2 linked regions of the Alligator mississippiensis genome follow. The protein of the gene in region 2 interacts with the protein of the main gene of each other region in a pairwise test. Links are inferred from orthologs where the notes say so. Each region holds a gene or a part of one and is shown on either strand. Other genes may lie near its edges.

Region 1 (9,546 bases), on a different chromosome or scaffold from region 2:
GAAGTTCGGCATGGCAGCTTGCTTGGGCGGGGTGCCGATGGGGACAGCGCGGACAGGGGGGCTTCCAATGACAGGGGAGGAAGAGCGCCTGGGCAGTGCCCTCTCTGAGAGGTCGCGCTCCTCATCCCGGGCCTGGGGTGGCCTCTGAGGCAGGGCGTAGTCAAGCACTGACACCGACGGCATCTCCTGTACATCAAGGGAAGGAAAATGACGGACAATGGTCAGTTACTTTGAACTGATCACACTCTACCAACCTGCCAGTGACAGGAAGGCAGCCCAGCACACCCTCCATCTCAGAGAGAACCCTTGAATCTCAGAGATCACTTCCCCTCAGCTAGCACATCTTCATGGCAGTCCCACTGGTCCAGCATATCAGAAAGTCAGGAGACAAGCACTCTCCAGGCCTGATTTGCTGCTTGACAAAGAAAGGCATAGAGAGGTTGTGCCTCTCATTACTAGGAGAAATGTTTTTACAAGACTTTTGGATGAATGCAGCAAACTGTTTCATACACATGACTGCTCCTCCTTTTGGCTCTAGCAACAGATTTATGTTTATTAGCCTCATTTGCCTTGCAGAAGACAGGAAGCTGGGTTTTATTCCAGCTTAAGACACCAGAATTCTTGAAGATTTGGCCAGCAGAGATTAGTTATCTTAACTTAGCCTTAACAGCATCTGTACCAACTTTCAAGTGGGGCTAGTTTATTAAGGATAATATGCAAGTACATTATAAGCAGTCTCACTCACAGATCCCAGGGGATACTGGCAGAACTGGCTGTGCTTTTCCTCCAAGCTAAATGTGCTTGATCTGGAGTCAGCAAGGAAAAGCCACAGACCCCTTCTTTCACAATACTATTTTAGAGTCCTGTTTTACAAAGCAGAATTGCTCTTCAAGAGTGAATCAAGTCCCATGATTCAGGGGCTTAGCTGGTTGCCACAAGCACAGGAAGAGATTGCTCATGAAGGACAGGGCATTACACAACAAGGTAAGTGCATTGTGGGTACTTTCAGTTTCTTCCGGCGCATCTGCCAGGCAATGGTCTGATCCTATGCAGCAAGAGGGAGGTCACCAGACAAAAAGCACCTGTGGTTTGATGCAATACAGTAGGACACAAAGTGCAGAAATGGCAAATCTTGTGCTACTCAGGCTTTTGCTCTAATCAGGAAAAGGCCTCCTAAGGTGGGAGAAAGCACCTTTTCTGTATTTACTGCCAGTGCAGGTGGCTGAGAGACCTCAAGTTCTCCTCTGTCAAGGTAGTAACAATACTGGGACACTACACCTGAGTGAGAAGCGGCCCTCGGATGCGTCTCAGAACTGCTGATCCATCCCAGATGCTGGAGTTCAGTCCTCCTGGATGCTGTGGAACAAAAGAGATGGGTTGATATGGAGAAGGTTTTTCTGGCTGCCCACCCTTCTTCTCCCCCACCACCTCCAGCTCCACCCCCCAACTGCACTCACTTGAACAGGGAGCCGGGTTTGCACAGCCTGCATGATGGCTGGGTCTTCCAGTTCATTATCGATTACCATCTTGGTCAGCCTCTCTGCCAGGTTCTCTTCATGGTCCCCCAGCAGGTCCATTTCATCAGTGACTGTCCCATCTTCCTGCTCCCCAGTGGTTGCAGGCTTGTCTTCCAGTTCAGCCAGCCGCTCATGTGCCTCCTGCCAATCATCATCTATAAGGGAACCACAGAGGAGTGGGGCTGGAACTGTTGTACCACACTTCTCCTCCAGTGCCAGCTGCAATTCCCAGGCAGAGGCAATGAGGAACCCCTCAGCTTCCTCACTGGACATCTAACAGAGCTGCAAGTGGAACTGCCTGAGCCTGAAGCAACAGCAGCATGGTGGGGACGGACAACATCTTACTTCAGATACGTCACCTCCTGAAGAAGAGAAGGAGGCAGAGACAAAGACAGGGAAACAAGGGAGAAACACAGCTCTCACCCACAGCACCGGCTCCAAATGTGTCATCGTTGAACTGGTCAATATCTTCATCTTCCTCACCCAGGGCATGAAAGGCATCTTCGTCCTCATCCAGAGGGCAGTCCTCCAGGGACTTGGAAAAAGGAGAGAGAGAGAGAGCAAGCATGTGTGCTATGAGAAGGTCTTGTGATGTGCTGCAATTTCACCTGCCTTCCCAGCACCACCAAGCTGGGTTCCTCCTTGGCCACTTCTCACCCAAACTGGAGGTCTGCCCATCTCTCGACCACTGCCCTGGAGGCTCTCTCAAGTGAGTCTGCGGGTGGGATTGGGGGAGAGGGGGAGGGGGGGGGGGGAAGTGTTCCTCCAGCACCAACCAAGCACAAGGCCTGTATTTCCCAAGTTCACAACATGCATATATGCCAAACACAACCAGAGTGCGCTCTCATTCTACCAAAAAAGGTCCCTCTGCCCAAGAACTGCCAAAGTGCAAGCCCTCAGATAAGGCAAAGCCACCACCATCTCCCTCAACTCCCACTTCCCCCTCCCACACAACAATACTAGCCACAGACCGTTTCCTGAACTTGCCTCCTAAGACAAAGTAACATCTCCCCACCACCTCCCCACATATATCCCCCATCCTATCCCATGCCCACCCTCAAAGCCGACCAAAAGGCAAGACTCATGGTCCAATGGATAAGGTGCCAGTCAGGGAGACCAGGGCTCAATTCTCTGCTCCACTACAGACTTCCTATGACACCTGAGGCAAGTCACTTTGTCTCTGGGCCTCCATTCCCCACCTGTTAATCAAGGCTAATGGTATCACCTGACCTCAATGCACTGCAAAGGCAAAAGTGCTGGCACCCCTGCACTGCTCAGATACTACAGCAGTCAGTACACAGGACAGGAGAAACTGCTGTCACCCACGCATCCACAACACACAAAGCACCCCCCCACCCCACCAAAGGCATCCCCCACGTCTTCCCTGACGCACCCCTGCGAAACAAGGCACCCCATGAAAGCCATGTAAACGAGGACACCCCACAAACAACACACACCAGCCCACGCTTTCCCAGGGCAAGCCAAAAATGTCCACTCAGATTACTGCCTTCCTCAAGACAACTTGGTAAAAAACAAGGGCTCCCCATGCCCCTAAACAACATAAATGCTATGCTGCTACTAGTTAAACTTTTATCATGCCACACCTCTAACCACATCACCCTTTCCCTTGCTCTCAGCAAGGCGGGTCCCCATCAGTAGGCACACGGCAACTGAGCACACAGCAGAGCCAAACAGGCACAGAACCATAGAGAACGAGGGCTGAAAGGGACCTCAGGAGGTCGTGGAGTCCAGCGTGTCTCAACCCGTGGGTCACAGGAATATAGGAAAGGGTCTCGAGCAAACTTTAAAAATGGATTCTCCTTTAAAGGAGAAAAATGAGGCACACGGGGGCTTTTCCCTTGCAGGCTGGCAGAGCTCCAGCCTGTGAGGGGCTGCTTGGGGCCCCCTCCCTGCCCACTGGGGACAGGGAGCAGCAGGACAGGAGTGAGGGGTCCTGGGCTGGGACTGGCCACTAATGTTTACAAGTGGGTCCTGGTACAAAAAAGGTGGAAAATCACTGCTGCAGTCCAACCCCTGCTCAGAGCAGGACCATCCCCAACTTGATCGTTCCAGCCAGGGCTTTGTCTTCCTGGGTCCTGAACACCTCCCAGGATGGAGAGCCCACCACCTTTCTGGGTTACCTGCTCCAATGTTTTCCTACCCTCCCAGTGAGAAAATTCTTCCTAATATTCAACCTAAACTTCCCTGCTGCAACTTGAGACCACTGCTCCTTGCTCTGTCATCTGCCACCACTGAGAGCAGTCAGTCCAGCTCCCTCCTCTTCCCAGCCCCCGTGCAGGGAGTTGAAGGCTGCTATGAAGTCGCCCCTCAGCCGTCTCTTCCCTAAACCAGCCCAGTCCCCTCAGTCTCCCACAGCCCCGGACCATTTCCGTCCCGGGCCGGCTCCCCGCGGTGTGCGCATCCCTCCGGCCGCGAGGCCCAAAGCTGCACACTGGACTCCCGACCCCCCGGCGCGGGCCCAGCCCCCGCTCCGGCCGCAGCCCCCCCGGCCGGGCCCAGCCCATCCCGCGGCTGGAGGGCCGGGGTCAGGGGTCAAAGGTGAGGGCGGGGGGGCGGGGCCGGGTGGCTCCTCACCTGGTAGCGGAACATGGTGCGCGTGAAGAGCGCGGAGCCCCTCCCCCCCAGCACCGCCTGGGAGGCTCCGCGCGGACCCCGCTCCAGCTCCGAGCCCCCACCCCCGGCACGCAGGCAGCGTCACGGCGCACGCACATGACGTCACCGCGCCCTCCAGCCTGCCGAGGGTCGAGTCTCCCGGCGGGCGCATGCGCGGTGCTGCCGGGCGCACCTCCGCCCACCGGCCCCGCCCACCATTAAAGGCACAGCACCGCCTCCCTCCGGCGGCCTGGATGTCACGTTCCTTCCTTGGAACGCTTGGCTTAAAGGGGCCGCGAGGGCTTGGGGCAGCCGGAAAAACCACGCGCCCTCCCGTCCGAGCAGCTGTTCTGCTGTCTCTTCTCTGCCCCGCTTCTGATCTGATCTGCAGTTCTGCTGTCTGCTCCCCGCCCCACTTCTTCTGATGTGCAGCTCTGCTGTCCCCCGCCCCCTGCCCTCTGATCTGATCTGCTGCTCTGCCATGTACTCCCGCCTCGTGCTCCTGGATCCTGCCGGGTGCCACTCGCGGCCCCAAGGGGCAGCTTGGCCACCCCAGCCCTGGAGCCGCTCTGTGTGATAACAGCAGTCGCAGAGCCGAGGTGCTGCTGCCTCCCCAGCCCGGGGGTTACGCGTCCCTGCCCCCCAGCTCTCCCCGTTCACGCATCACTCAGCTTTCAGTTCGGTTTGCTGTATCACCCGGGCCAGGCATGACTTGCTCAGATGGGGCCAGGGGAGAGTTTCTAGGCAGGACAGTGGCAACAGCAGACTTAAGATCCTTTTATCGCTAGGTTATAACCTGGGTTTTTTTCCTTACCCCACTCAGAATCTGACATGACTTTGAGTCCCCTGGATCTCACTAGAAACGATGGCCGGGAGCGTGGCCAATTTGGAAGCCAGGACTTGCTGCTACAGAGCAGCTTTCTAGCTCTCGCCAAGTGGTTCCCAACCTGAACCTGGCACGCCAGATGCCTTGAAGGGGGCTGCAAGGTCTGAGATGGTAGGAGCAAGCTCAGAGTCATCCCTGCCTGGCCACTCCCCTGCCTCCGCTGCCCTGTCCCCCTACAAGAGGGTAAGCACGGTAATAAATACGTTTTTGAATTTCACAGAAGGTAAGGAGGGGTACCTGGAATCTGTATAGGTCGACAGGGTATATAAGTTGGCCCCATTTTTCTGATCCGAAAAGTTAGGTCAGCATTGGATCTATGACATTCCTACCTTTTTGGATCAGAAATATGGGGTCAACTTGTACTGGCCCCTGCACTCCCTCACTACAGGCCGGGCACCCGGGGAGTGGGCATGTGCCACAGTGCCATGGGGCCAGGCTCGGTGTTTGGCTGGTGCAGCCCCATCCCCTGTGAGTGGCGATGCCTGTACACAGAGCCCGGTGCTGTTCGCAGGGGATGGAGCCCCATCAGCTGAGCGCCAAGCCTGGCTTTGTCTGCTGTGAGCGGTACTGCTGAGCACTAAGCCTAGCTCTGTCCCCTGCGAGCAGTGCTGGGCTTGGCACTTGGCTGGTGCACCCTCACCCCCCTGAGAGGGATGCTGCCTGGGCCACACCAACCAAGCGCCAAACCCAGCTCCATCCCCTGTGAGTGGCACTGCTGAGCACTAAACCCAGCGCCGCTCGCAGTGGATGAGGCTGGGCTCAGCACTCAGCAACACCACTCACAGCAGACAGGGCCAGGTTTGGCACTCAGCTGGTGCACCCGCATCCCCTGCGAACAGCACTGCCTGGGCCGCACGAGCCAATTGCGGAGCTTGGCACCACTCACAAGGGACGGTGATATGGTGTATAAGCCGAGGTTAAATTTTAAAGAGTCAAAAATTGGGTTTCAATAGTTGACTTACATACTGTGAAATATGGTGTTTCAGGGCACAGTTTCTAAAAGCATGTCAGGATTCAAGTCAAGAGGTAGAAGGAAGCAGAGTAATTGGAGTGGTGTAACTGGAAGGACCAGTACCTTGCTGCCAGAACTGGACCCCACCTGCAAAACTCAAACAGCTCTGATGTTCACGGTTGTTCAGGGTTTTGGAATGACCTGTTGTAGGAACCTGTGTCCAAACGTTCCCAGAACTAAAGAGTGCTCTAATCTGAGGTTCTACGTCAGGCCCAACTCTATTCACATCATAGCAGGGCTAGAAAGAACCATCTGAATGAGAGGATACAGGACCTGGCTTGTAACCTATCAGACCTTCACATACTTGTTGCCCTTAGGGTCAGCTGTGTTACTGGAAAAGGTCCAAAACAAGGCAGTGTGCTAGCCCCTGAACTTGTGGGGGAGTCAAGTCCCCTGTCACTCGTTAGTCCAAGCCAGGGCTAATAAAGACTTTGCCCCTGCCTCTCCACTGTTTCAGGCAGGCTGCCTCCTAAACTGGAACCAGCTTAGCCTCATCCCTGTGATACTTCAGGTTAGCTAATTAGCACTGCTGGGTGGCAATGCCACAGTGCCCATCTCCATGCTAATTAGTCTGCCAGGGCAGCTGCATGGGCTCACCTATCTTGCTTCTGGTTGAGGAGACAGTCTGCCCGGTGTGTTTGAGGGGCCTGGCATGGTAAGTTTAATTATATCTGGCCTTGGTTTGCATAGACTGTACAAGTTGTGTTAGTCCAAGAGCTGGAGAGCTACAGAGTGCAGCAAGGTCTAGCCCTGGCCAGCAGCCTGAAGAAGGAAAGCCCAGTGGATATCCATCACAGCCACATCTGCTTCTATTCTGCAACCACAGCTCAGAATGTATTTCTCTGTGGTACCTTCACTGAGATTTCTGCTCTTCTAAGTGCCAGGGTATTTGGGTTACTACCGTTCAGTGCTGGCCTTGTGTATTTTTAAAGGAAGTGTGAGTATCGTCAAGAGATGGATGAAGCGAGAGGGAGGGGGAAGGGGAAGGGGAAGGAGAAGGGAGGGGGTGGGGCACAATAATCTTTATCTCTCTTCCCTCTTCCCACCAGGGAGTTTTGGCCACTGATCACAAGATCTCCACTCCTCTTAACCTGTTTTCTTCCTACTTAAAACAATATTTACTCTCTTGCTACTGTTCCCAGACCCAGAGCTGGAGACCCAACCTGCAACCAGGCTGTTTGCACAACTTTAGGGACAACTCTTCTAACATGAACATACTTTAATGTCCCTAAAAGATGTCACAGCAGCTCAGCAGAGCTGCCAGGGATGGACAAATTTCCCTGCACTTTCTGGAGGGCTGTTCTCTGCTGCCAGGTGCCATGGTAGCAGTGGCAGGTGACTGTAGACTAGGCCTGAATGAGTAAGCCCTCCAGATGATCAAGAAAAGCAGCCTAGAGTCCAGTAGTTTCTGAAATCAGAAGGCAAAGAAAGAGAGTCCCAGATTATTATTAACAAGATAACTCACTTTTAAGCCAATCCTGTGACTTTTTAAGGGACATGACTCCTGATTTTTGGGCTTTTGACACTGGCAGTACTGCACCTCCTGAGGCACCCAGAACCTGGCCCTTTAGGTTACTAGATCTCTACCACCCTAGTGGTGCTCTGAAGGTGTGTACTTTTAGTGTGTGTTCAACTAGCTTTTGTTGTTTCCTCAGCTTGTTTTGTTTATACAGTGACTGTTTAGATAGATTTAGACTTGGGACAAGGACCCATGCTCTATACAAATCTGTAAAGTGACATGTTATCACAGGACTATGCAAATAGAAACTCAACTATAATAGTTCATGTGTTTATTAGCTTTCACTGTCTTCGTTCTCTGTCCTTTTGCTTGTGCTTATCCAGCCACTCGAACAGCTTAGGAAGGAGGAGAATATTAATAACAATAATCATCAGCTCCTTATGTGCTTCTTTGTTCAAAGTATTTTACAAACTTTAACTGATTAATTAGTATTTCAGGGTTCCCCTCTTTGACCTGAGGGATTAGGCAACTGTCAGGTCTTTGCAGTTTGTTTCCACTCAGAGGAGAAGTTGATGATGGAATAGGCTGATGCAATCCTATTTATTTATGAAGTGAGTACAAAGTAGGAATCAACCAACAAGACACTGTGTCTTTGCTCACAGTGCCAAGCCCAGTTCAAGCAGCACTGAGCCCAAGAGGTTTGCGCTATTGCAGTGATGTCAGCACTTCCCAGGATGTATCTGGTACCCCTCAGCTTCTCTGATGCTTTCGCAGACACACAAGCCTTCACACAACAGCAGAGAAATCCTTCTGTCCACAGGTGCCTTGCATGAGTGGTGACATTTCTCTGTTTGGGGTGGAGGTTGTTGTTGTTTCAGCTTTCTGGTTCCCTAAGAGAACAACCACCCTAACTAAATGGCAGTGGTCAAGCCTCCTGGAATCAGAGTGGTTCCATCTGATCTATAGCATGTGCCATTATTATGATCCCCATGTTCCATTTGGGAGAACTGAGGCCAAGGAACCACTCCAATACTAGTGGCAGAACAGCAAATAGGACCTGAACTTTGAAAGTCCCAGCCCCTTCTAAAGCCACTGCGTATTTTAGGAAGGGTACCCACACAGCTGGGGAAAAAGCAGCGTACATGCACAATCTTTGCAGGGGATGTTCTCATCATAATGCATTTTTTGTGTAATACCATACCTGTGTGTGGGTCAGTGGAGATCGAATCTGGCACCTCTGGAACCTAATGCATGAATCAGTACTGCCTGACCAAAAAGAGCTAGGTCTGTTGGCTGGAGCTCAACCATCCTCCACCTGAGGTGCCACTCTGAATGGGTGTGAAGAGGTATGTGTGCGTTCTCATGGGGCTGGAGCTCCCTTGTGCTTGGCACCTCAGAGGGTACCTCTACACTGTGACAGTAGGGAGCCTGGTATCACTACCTAGCTAATAAGCCCAGCCCACTTGCTTCCACTTTGTGCACATCAGCCCTCTAGGCATCCTCACCACCTCACTTCCAAGATCATACACATAAAGCAGGAATTGGTGTATATGGCTCATTGCTTCATAAGCTCTCTGCTGTTCCTGATGACACCTGAGAGGACTGAAAGGGAAAGCAAGTTAAAGAGGAAGCCAATGTTTTCTGCTTAGTGGGTTTTCCTTCTACTCCTGTAGGCAATTTCAGTTTCTGAGCTCTTGGGTTAGCAGGCCAAGGACAGCCTTCTCCTGAACTGCTCCTGCAGCCTCTGTTCAGGCTCCATGGGATGATGGGAGAAGATCAGGGGACTGCTTCACAACCATAAAGAGGGGACAAGGATATTGCCTGGGCCACCTGTGAAGAAGGGGTTGACCTCAGCTCAGCTTCCTGCTCCCAACACAATGAGGATCAGTGAAAGGGTTATAACGGAGATACAGGATAGAAGGACAGCAGACTCCTTGGCAAATGTGAAGTTCCTGGAGCTACCTAGGAGGACGCAGGCCAAGATGAAGTGGGGTGGGGACAGAGACATTCATCCTGAGTCTCTCCTTGAAGCAGGGGGTTCATCCATGGAGGCACGCAT
Region 2 (10,030 bases):
CCCTGCACGGCGCTAGAAGCCAAGCTGGCCGCCGGCCGGTCCGTGCAGGGGCTGACGGGTGGACGGGGCGGTGGGAAACCTCCCAAACATGTTCCCGGTGTGGACCGGGCGTGCTGGAGTGCTGCCCCCCTTCCCAGAGGGCACAGCCTGGGCTTGACGGCCGGTCCCTAGAGAGCTGTAGGCTGAACGAGCTCTTCCTTGGCCGCAGCCAGCACTTGGCCCAACCGTAGCGGATGAAGCAATTTGCCAAACGGAGCCTGGATGTCCCCGGGTCCCAAGCGGTTTCCATGCTAACAGCTCGAGCTGGTTTCCCAGAAAGACTCCTCTTGGACCCGTGCTGTCAGCGATGGGATGCCTCGTTACCGGCCTCCTCTGTTTTTTTCCAAGAGCTGGCTTCGTTCTCACAGCTTTGTTTTCCTTCTGGAAGGTGCTGTCGCTGCGTCTTCCAGGCTCGCACGTGGGAAATGCTCGCTAGCGGGGGATTTTTTCCTGTGCGTTGACCCCAGCTGCGCGCTGCTCCCCTCTGGCCTGCAGCCAGCTGCATTTCCAGGCTCTTCGGAGCACGGGTTTTGCAATAGTACATAAACTTCTGGCTCCAGAGAATGGCTTTGCAGAGAGATTAGTATCTTTTAACAAAGAAATTAAGGGCCTGCCAGCAAAAGCAAAGGCAATGCCTTGGAAGCTGGGAAAACACCCCTGACCTTTCCCAGGAGCCTCGGTTCAAGCATTTGGGTCTGGCTAGCACATGGCAGACATGAGTCGGCTTGACGCCTTCTGTGCGGCGTGAACGTGTGACTGCAGCTGGGCCCCAGTCCAGCGACCTCTGGACCCCGGGGAGCCCTCCACTCCCCGCTGCGCTGCTGGGTCTTGCCCGTGGGATGGGGCAGGCCCAGCGTTGGCTGTGCGGGGTTCTAGATTTAGCAGCTTTACCTTCTTCACGGGCAGGAAACAGGCTCATAATGTCCCTCCATGCCTGAAAAAGGAAGAGCCACCCTTGCCCGGGCTCTCTCGTGGGCCCTGGCTGATACCTGGCCCGTTAGCAGACACCAAGGATGCAGAGCTGCAGGGGAGAAGTGCCAGAGGAGCTTTGCAAAGCCCATCACAAAGGCAAGGGGAGGGTGACCCTGCTTTACCCAGGGAGACTGGGGCACAGGGATGGGGAAGGGCTCGGTCAAAGCCTCAGTCAGAGCTGGGGACGCCATCCCAATCTGATTCTCAGCCTGTCCCATTGCATAGCCTTTCTCCCCAGGCAGGCGGGCCGTGCTCCGGTGATGAATGCATCGCCGTGTCTGCTGTCCAGCCGACGTGTCTTTCCCACCTCCTGGGAGCGTCGCTGTGCTTAGGTAGTATCTGGATGCAGAGGAGCTGGCTGAACCCCTCCTTGCTCCTTTGCTTTGCGTGTTGGTCATCGGTTCTTGTGTCCATGGGATCAGAGCATGTACAGTCTGGGTCTTTCTGAGTCAAAATGCCTCTGCTTTGTGGAGCCACTGGTTGCTGCTCGGTGCATTGTGCACGTCGTGGCACTCGCAGGCAGAAAGCACACACAGCTCGTGATTTTGGGTGCTGCGGTGGCTGTCTGGACTTGGGGGTGGGCGACTTGCAACCAGTCACGCAGAAAGGCTTTGGAGCGGTCTGTGGTCAGAGACCTCTGCCGTCGTCCCTGCGGATGCAGCAACCACGTGTCCCAGACTAAAAATATTGCCACCAAAATAGCCTTTCTGGAAAGGTTTCCTAATCTCCTGGTAGTTCCTCTTGCTGGCATGCTCAGTCCCCGTCACAAGGCAGGGCGAGCTCGGCAGTGCTGTTCACCAGAGAAGGAACTCGGATGGGTCCCAAATGTTCTGACCTGCCCCAGTCCCAGGCCGCCGATCGCAGCCAGCTGCTGCCGCTTCCTGCCAGTGTCCTCAAGTTGCTTTTTAAAGCCTGAAAACTAGATTGGCAGGCTCCAGTGTATGCCTGGACCACCGCCCTGACCTGTGCACCATGCAGCCTTCCCCTCCTCAAAGCCCCTTCCAGCTCGCTGCCTCTCCGCAGGCGCTTCCAAAATTGGCGTAGGCTAAGCAATCCTTCCCAAAAGGGAGCAGTGTCCTTGGACCCAGGTTCTCCCCAGTCCCCGCCCCACACTCTGGTAGCGTTGGCTTCATTCAAAGATCCTAATTCAGCATCACAGAAGGGTTCCCACTAACTTCAGTGGGATTTAGAGCAGCCCCTAGTCTGTTTGCTCCTTTGGGCACGGGCTCACTGGTGAGCATCAAGTGTGTCTGAGCCCTGGACTACTCGCAATGGCACGGTAAGGGAGGCTTTTGGAGCCTGCTGAAATGGGAGAAGAACAAGTCGAACAACTTGTGTCTCCTCCAAGTTAGTCATTTGCTCAGTTGGCCAGTGTGTTTTTGTAGCCGCGCGTAAGATGAAATTCCCATGCACAGGCCCAGCATGGGGCTTATGCACCCCTGAGCCCCAGCACGTGTGCATGTGCGTGCTTGTGTTTCACCCCACGCGGATAGCAGCAAGGAGAAATCAAGGTGCATAAAAGAAATTGGTATCACCGTGTGTTCTTCATCCTTGTTCAAAACTCACAACTTTCTGTGTTCATCCTGCCAGTGCTGCCACGGGGAGGGGAGGCCTCCCCGTCATGCTGATGGAGAAATGGAGCTGGAGGGGTTAGACGTGGCTTTTCCAAGTTCAGAGGAAGTCAGTGGTGCTGTTTGGATTAAGCCCGAGGATGGTGCGGTTACCGTTGCACCCGCAGGCTGGCTCTTGTATCGGTACAAGTGAATGTCTTGCAGTCTAGTTTTGCAAGCATGCCTTTGCAGGAGCTGATTGTCCACGGCTGGCGTGCTGCGGGCTTCTCGGAGCAGTTCAAGTCAGGGTGAAGAGCTTGGGAAAGAGGAGACTAATGGAAAGGGGATGTGGCAATGGGTGGGTCCTGTGCAGAGATAAATACACACTTGTGTGCCATGGGTTCAGGGCCTGGGACTCACCAACCTGCTTCTTAGCCAGCGCGTGAGCCCAGCACCCATCCTTCCCCGTTAAGCTGCTTAGTGCTTTGCCCTTCTCGTGTCACTTCTCCAGCGGCCGCAGTCTGGCATGATGCTAATTGAAGACCACCCAGCTCGCTCCGTGGTGTTTGTGCAGCAGTGTCGTCTCCCGAGTCTTGCGGGCTGATGTAACTTGAGGCTTGGCAGGTGAAGGACTGACCTCACGGCGGGGGAGGCTGGGATTTCGTCGACCTTGGACGGGAAGTCTTAGGGCAGAGAGTTTGGGATGCCTCTGGCTGCGCTCTGCGATCTGGGAGCAGGCAGAGCCCCCTCCTCCTGCACCCCAAAAAGCCAGTAGTGATTGCTTTTCCTCTTGGTGCGTCTTCCCAGACCGTCTCTTGGCCCCTGGGGGCTGATGAGATTGAATGTGGCACGACTGATAAGTGCAGGGAGGCACAGGGGACCACAACACTAATGTGCACGAGCGCAGGGGACAGCAGAGGCCCGGCTCCCAGGAGAGCCACCCCACTGAGTCCAGTGTGCAGCGCCGTGCTCTGCCAGCTAAGCACAGCACGTCCCCAGCATCCGGCACCATCCTTCCCCGTGGCTCTGGGGAAGGACACGGCCCGGCTGAGGGTACCGGCAGGTTCGAGCAGCCAAGCACTTCCCACGTCGCTCCTGGCTCGTGCGTCTGACTTGCTCCCGTCCTCCCTTTGCAGACGTTTTCCCTGTTCCTGCCCCTGAAGGAGACACAAGGTCCTCCTCCTACATCAGTTCGTGGCTTCTGTGCACAGGGAACGTGCACTGTTTCCACGAGGCCTGGGCAGGGGGCTGGCTTATCTAAATTCCCGTTTGCTGGGAAGGGTGTTGGGAGGACGCTCAAAAACCCAGCCCTTTCCGGGCTCCTAGCTGCAGAGCACGTGCACCAGGCCTTGGGGCCAGAGCAAGAAAGGTTTCCAAAAGCCCAGCATCAAAGGTGTGGGAGGCTGCTGGCTTGTGGGCTCTGAGGTCAGGGCCAAGCGGGCGGTAGAGCAGCGCCCTTCTGCTGCATCTCTTTGCAGTTAATCCAACAGCTCCCAGGGAAAGGACGGTGGGGAGGTTGTGCGGGAGCTGGTCAGCAAACAACGGTGGAAACACCGAGGCCAGAATTGCCCATGGGGAGGTTGGAGGTGGTTTGTCTCCGCGGAGCAGCTGGGCATGCAATGAGCTGGGCACCGGATTGCCCAGCTCTGCCGGGACTAGCGCGCCTAGTCTAGGGGCTCCGTGGCCCGCAGCCTTGCCCGGCTCAGCGTGGTGCACCGCAGAGCTACGAGGGATGCGTCTGACCCCGAGCAGCGAGTCCCCGAAGCTGTGCCATGCGGTCCACGAGGCTCCAGCATCTCCGCACGGGCCGTGCGTGCTCTGCCACGCGGGGCGATGCGGGCAGGCTGCAGAGCCCACGTGCCGCGTGAATCTCTGCATGTATAAAATCAACCCGGGGTTTTCGGCTCCATTTCCCTGCCTGGTCCCGTCCCTTCCTATTCGAAAGGCCCAGTCTTTCCTCCGCGGGTGGATTTTCCTCCTCTGCAGTGACGGGAGCCCCTGGTAAGAGTGGCCCGAGGCCGGCTGCAAAGGGGACGCGTGTGACTTTCCCCCAGAAGGCTTTCCCTTTGTCCCTTTGTTCCCGCCTGCCTTTTGCACGCCCTCTCTGGCACGAACGGCCCGCGCTCATTCAACGGCTCTCTTAAGAAATCCTAGTGGAGAGTTAGACCTGGCAGATGGAGGCCTCTTACCTCACCGCACAAAAATGCTTTGTTATTGAGAAAATGGAAACTGTCTGAGGTTTCTGGGCTGAATAGAGTCATTGGTGTCTTGTTTTAACCGCAGCTCGGTCGCGGCTGCTTGAGCTTTCCCTGAGCTGAGCACTCCCTTCTCCAAACCATCCTCTCTGAAGAGTCGCCACGAATTAACTCGTTAGCGCTGGAGGCTCCTGCCTGCCCGGAGACCTCGGCTAGCGGGGAAGAGCGCTGTCGCCACCGAAGCCTTTGCCCAGAACAAGAGTGTCCCTGGGAGCCCGAGCCGGGCTCACCTCCCGTTTCTAATCCACACTGTCCCGCTGGCCGGCACGTACGCGTGGGAAGGCCAGTTGCTCCGTCCACTTAATGAGGAGCGTAAAGGTTAGGGAGGAAAGTGTCCGGACTTCCACGCTCTAGCTCTTCCCCGCACCCTCGAGCTCCTAGTTGTGAGACGAGAAACTTCTGCTTGTCACGAGCTATTCGAAGTCGGCAGCGCGGTCTGCCGCGGGAGCTCAGCGAGGGGAAGGGGTTTGCAGGATCCGCCAGCTAGCCCTTCCATCGCGAGCAATGACAGAAACAGCATCCCCTGAAACGCAAGGCTGGCTCTGGCTAATGGATCGTTGTACGGATTTGAGGAATTAGATCCGCGCCATTCGATAGCTCCGGCCGGGAGGGTTGCAGAAGCATTGTCCGCTAGCGCCCTTGCAGGGCTGGCAGAAGCAGCTCTTGGGGTTGTGTTTTTCAAGTAAACTGAGCCCAAGATCCCGGTTTTTGTTGGGTTGAAGTCTCGTGGGCCCGGGAATCCCTTCCAGCTGCTGCGGATGTTTGTCAGAGCTGGCGCATCCCATGCACAGATGTGGCCCCTAAAATATGGCAGCTGTGAGGGCGCGAGAGAGCCCGGCCGTTTACCCTGACGTGTACACACGGCTTTGCTGGCTGGGGTGTGTTTGCCCGGGCCGCTAGAGCTCCCCTAAACCGGCTCCGCTCGCAGCTCCTCGTCCGGGGAGAGGAGTGACTGGTCAGCCTCTCCTCGGCACCCCTTTGAGAGCCAGCGTGGGCTTGAGTAATGCTAATCGACTTAACCGGGGAAACAGTCCCAGCTGCTCAGAGCGGAGCCCCCGGTTTCCATCCTAGCCCCCTGCTTTCTGTGGGTTTTAGCTGCGGTCATGAAAATCCTTTCCAGGCGGAGCCTGGCTCCTGAGGTCTCCCCGAGGGTTTAAAAAAAAAATGCAAAATGCAAATTGCAAAAACAGTTGGCAGCTATTCCTGGAGGAGCACCGGGTTACGGGTCTCCCCTCTTCCTGCAGCTTCAAAGCAGCCTCCATGGGGTAGGACCAGGCTCCCGAGGAGGATTTCCCCCCTGGGTGCTGGGCGCATTGGAAGTAAAGCTGTTTCTGTTCTGGTTCAGCGGCAGGCGTGGGCCCTGCCCTTCTGGCGGGGGCAGGATGCATGTGTTAACTCCGCCTGGGAGCCTGCTGCTTGGCAGGGGAGGAGCCTGCCTGGTTTTGGGGCTCTTCCGAGGAAACAAAAGAAATTGCATGAAGTGCAAAATGCATCGTAACTCGAGGGTCTGATTGCGACGGGCCGGAGCCAAGAAATTCCTCCCAGGGGGTCACAAGCCGTTGTGCTGCGCCAGGGCTTTCACACGCAGCGCTCTGGGAGAGGGAAGAGCAGGGGAGTGTCCTGGGTGGAAATGCTCTGGTCTTGTCGGCACTTGAAAGTTAACCTGGAGTAAGGTAGGGTGTGAATTTAACTTCTGCGGCTGTTCCCAGCGTGCCTCGTCGGTGTGAAGCTTGCCCCGCTCTAGCAGCGGGACAAGGCGGAGGGACGTCTGGTCTCGCTGCGGCCGGAGGAGCCTAATTCTACACGCCCGTGTCCCTCCTTGCTTGCCCCGCTTCTCCTTGCAAAGCGGGGTGCCTCTGGGGACCTTCAGGGTGCAGGCCTGGGGTGCATTCGCAAGGAGACGCGGAGCAAGGGAGGGAGGACTCTGGCAGGGCTGGGTCTGCGGTGCATCCTTGCCTGTGTATTCCCCGGACAGGGACCGAGAGACTCGCTGCCTCGTGTCACCGGCGTGAGCCGTGGCAGCCTGGAGATGACGGACTGCCCTGCTGCGCGGAGGTGCCGCGAGGGTGAGTGGCTCGGTGTGCGTGAAGCAACATAACCGTCGGGGAGGTGATGCACAACCGGACCCACAGAATATGTGTGTGTGGTCTTTGGTGGGCGATGGGATGGAGAAGTCCCTTTCCTACTGGAGAAGCCACTCCTCCTTCGAGAGCTGCCCTTACCCATGCCTCGGTCCTGGAGGGACGGGCGAGCATGTGGCCGTCCGTGCTAGCACTCGCTGCATAGAAATCCACCCCAAAAACACCCACCCGTATCATGAGCGGCTGCCGCCGACTCAGGAAACACGGTGGTACCAAGAGATACGGCTCGGAGGGTCCCTTCAGAGAGTGCCGGGCCAGGTGGGATTATTGCGGCCTTTATTAAAGAGGAGCGTGCAACGTGGTCCGAGCAAGCCTGGCCGCGTGACGCAGGCTTGCCGACCCAAGCAGGTCCCGTCAGCCGCAGCGGGGTTTGCTTCGGCAGGATTGGGGTCAGTAGGAGGGTGGCTCTCGGTGTGCCCAGAAACGCGCTCTCTGCCCCGTGGCCGGGGCCAGGGCCACGTGTGCCTCCTGTGCACATGCAGAGTACCTTGAGTGGCAAGAGCCCAGGCTCCAGCCCCGTGTGATGAAACCTGAACCTCTGTCGGAAACGCTACTCCTGCGCTGATGTCAGCCCCCGGTTTATGATGCGACTGCTTTTGTTTCTGGGTGAGCACTTCAGTGTTTTGCTGGTGCGCCGGGATTGACTGGGGCACCGTCTCCCAGCACACCTGCTGCAGCCGACTCCAGCGCGGCTGCCTCCCCGGGACAGGCGGGCTTCCCTTTGCTTTCCTTGCCGATCCCCCCGCAGCCAGCCATGCAAGGTAACTTTCTGCTTTGGGCAAGGGAGTGCTCAGTAGGGCTCGGGCAGCCTGGGGCAGTCTCTTTACCCAAAACTCGTTTTGGGTTTGGCTTGGTGGGGGGCACAGCGGGACTCTGGGCTCCCATCGCTCGCCGTGTTGCACAGACGGTCTTGGAAACTCTTTTCATCTCATGCACGGTTGCACCGGGTGCTTATCTGTGCACACACAAGGTGTTCGCCGCGTCTGGGAGGTCAGCCCCTCTGCCCACCGTGCTGGCTGGCTGGGTCGCAGCTAGTTAAAATCCTGTCCTGCGGCGTGCCACTGTCATCTGCTCCGTGCACGCTTCCCGGGCGCCTTTGCCTGCAGCCCCGTAAGCTCACCTGAGCTTCTTGGTTGCTGCTGAATGAGGATGCAATGCTGGAAATGGGCATCAGGCTGCAGGGCAGGGGCTCCCGGGCTTCGGAAACATCGTGGTTGCATCTGCCCGGGGCCCAGAGAGAGGCAGAAAGCTGCCGTGCCAGGAGAGCTGTTGGAGAGATGAAGAGGCAGTGTGAGCTCCCAGGGCTTTACCCCCTGGAGTCCTTGCTGGGGGCTGTCCTGCCCAGGACAGGTGCCCGAGGTGCGGGTAGCAGGGGCACTAGCCCTGTGAGGTTCGGTAGCATTTGGGGGGCAGGTTGTGGGGAGCTAATGCAGCCCCTTGCTGCTGGGGGAGACGCCTCTGTTCTGGGCACACCGGTCCTCTCGCCCTCGGGCTGACAGCCCTTTCTCGCGTGCCAGCGGCACGGCCCCGCTGCATGCTGGAGCACACAGGCTTCTTGCACACTTCCCAGACTTTTGCTCAGCTGTTTTATTGCCTATAATGCTCTATGTGGAGCACGCTGCCACTGCCTTAAAACGCTGGGTATGTAAGAAAAGAGGGGAAACGCTGCGGCAGAGCAGAGCAGAGCGGCTTGCAAATGGCCAGATCTAGACCGTGGCAGTAATTCACTCCAGATGGGTCTGCTGTAAAGTGGCTGCAGCCCTGCGCTGGAAGGGAAGAAAGCCTCTCCCTGCACACAGTGCTCCGGGGCCATCTCTACTCTCGCTTCCCAACCGCTCCCGATCTTGCCCCGCGGGCCACGTTGCCCCAGCCGAGGAAGGCTGCGGTGGGCACGTGCTGCGACTGCCGGGCAACGGAGCTTTGTTTTGGACCACAAGAAACCAGCGGCGGGGGGGTGGGTAACCCGAGACTACCCCCCTTCGCTGGCACTCGGCGCTTCGCCCGATTTAGAAGCTGCCGACGTGCCGGGGCTGCGCAGCTGTAATTTCCTGCGCTTGCGAGGGACGCCGGCAGCTGTAAAACATGCTTGGGACATGGCTGACTTCTGCAAGGGGCAGCAAAAAGGGGGCTTGCAGTTAGCAGCCCTGCAGCGAGAGGAGCACGCTACTGGGGGAGTCTGGGTGGAGGGTTGGTGAGGGTGGCCCTTCTCTCCCCTCTGCCTCTCGCCAGCCCCCCGTCCTGCCCGCTGCAAAGACACCTCGGGGGAACACAGCCCGGGGGGGCAGGGGGTGTACTGGGACCACAGCACAGCAGGAGGGCGCGAGGTTGCATGTCGCCTGGCTGCACGGACCATGCCGGCTGCAAACGCTGCTCCCCGGGACACAAGGAATGGAGTCCGCAGCAAATAGTTTGACCAAATTTGGGGAAAAAATTCCCTTCTGGCCTGGAAGGAAGAAGAAGGCAGAAAAACTTGCACGCAGACACTTCGATTTATGCTCCTAGGACTGCTTAAATCAAGATGTTTACGAGCTGAGCAGGCCCTCCATCAACCCAAGCGCTGCCGGGCACTGCGGCGAAGGTGGCTACGGAGGAGAGCTGGCCTCAGGCCCCGCGGGCTGGCTCTGCTGCACGTGACTGCAGGGCACGTGCCCTGCAGCCGTCTCCATGCCAGGCGCTCTGTTTGCAGAGCTCAGGGGATGCTCGCTCAGGCGCATGCCCGGAGCAGATCCTCCCACGCCTGGCTACGAGCGTCATGCCACAGCGGTGTTCATCCAGAGATCACGGAGGGTTGCGCACATGCTCGCTTGAGTTACCCAGGCAGCTAGAGGTGAGGCTCGCTTCACCCGGCACTGCGATGCAGCCAGGTGGAAGAGGGGGAGCTGCGCGCAACAACGTGATGCCGTTGCACGGGACGGGAGGCAAGACTGCACCGTGCGGTGGTTGCGGCAGGAGCATCCTAGGGAAGCACGAGGAGCTGCCTTCTTCCATGGGATGCTGTGCCGGAAGAGACACGCGTGGCCCCCAAAAGCGAAGCGGCTGAGCAGAGCCTGGCACCCCAGTGCAGGACCGTGGT

Evidence for each region. The genes of interacting proteins can lie anywhere in the genome.
Region 1: the proteins of FHL3 (region 2) and PATL1 interact in binary tests that used the Homo sapiens proteins (3 or more experiments, as listed by UniProt). The two-hybrid records come from large-scale screens. The link is inferred for Alligator mississippiensis from reciprocal best matches to the Homo sapiens genes FHL3 and PATL1.

Annotation. Positions count from the first base shown.
Region 1 is NC_081825.1:176,458,809-176,468,354, forward strand, and holds the start of PATL1 (protein PAT1 homolog 1), read right to left. Parts: upstream 4,078-9,546; 5' UTR 4,043-4,077; coding exon 3,902-4,042; intron 2,053-3,901; coding exon 1,941-2,052; intron 1,673-1,940; coding exon 1,458-1,672; intron 1,357-1,457; coding exon 1,279-1,356; intron 187-1,278; coding exon 1-186. UniProt on the Homo sapiens protein: RNA-binding protein involved in deadenylation-dependent decapping of mRNAs, leading to the degradation of mRNAs. Acts as a scaffold protein that connects deadenylation and decapping machinery.
Region 2 is NC_081829.1:1,229,385-1,239,414, reverse strand, and holds the start of FHL3 (four and a half LIM domains protein 3), read left to right. Parts: upstream 1-6,241; 5' UTR 6,242-6,489; intron 6,490-6,791; 5' UTR 6,792-6,845; coding exon 6,846-6,882; intron 6,883-6,946; exon of another isoform or gene 6,947-7,711; coding exon of another isoform or gene 7,712-7,718; intron 7,719-10,030. UniProt on the Homo sapiens protein: Recruited by SOX15 to FOXK1 promoters where it acts as a transcriptional coactivator of FOXK1.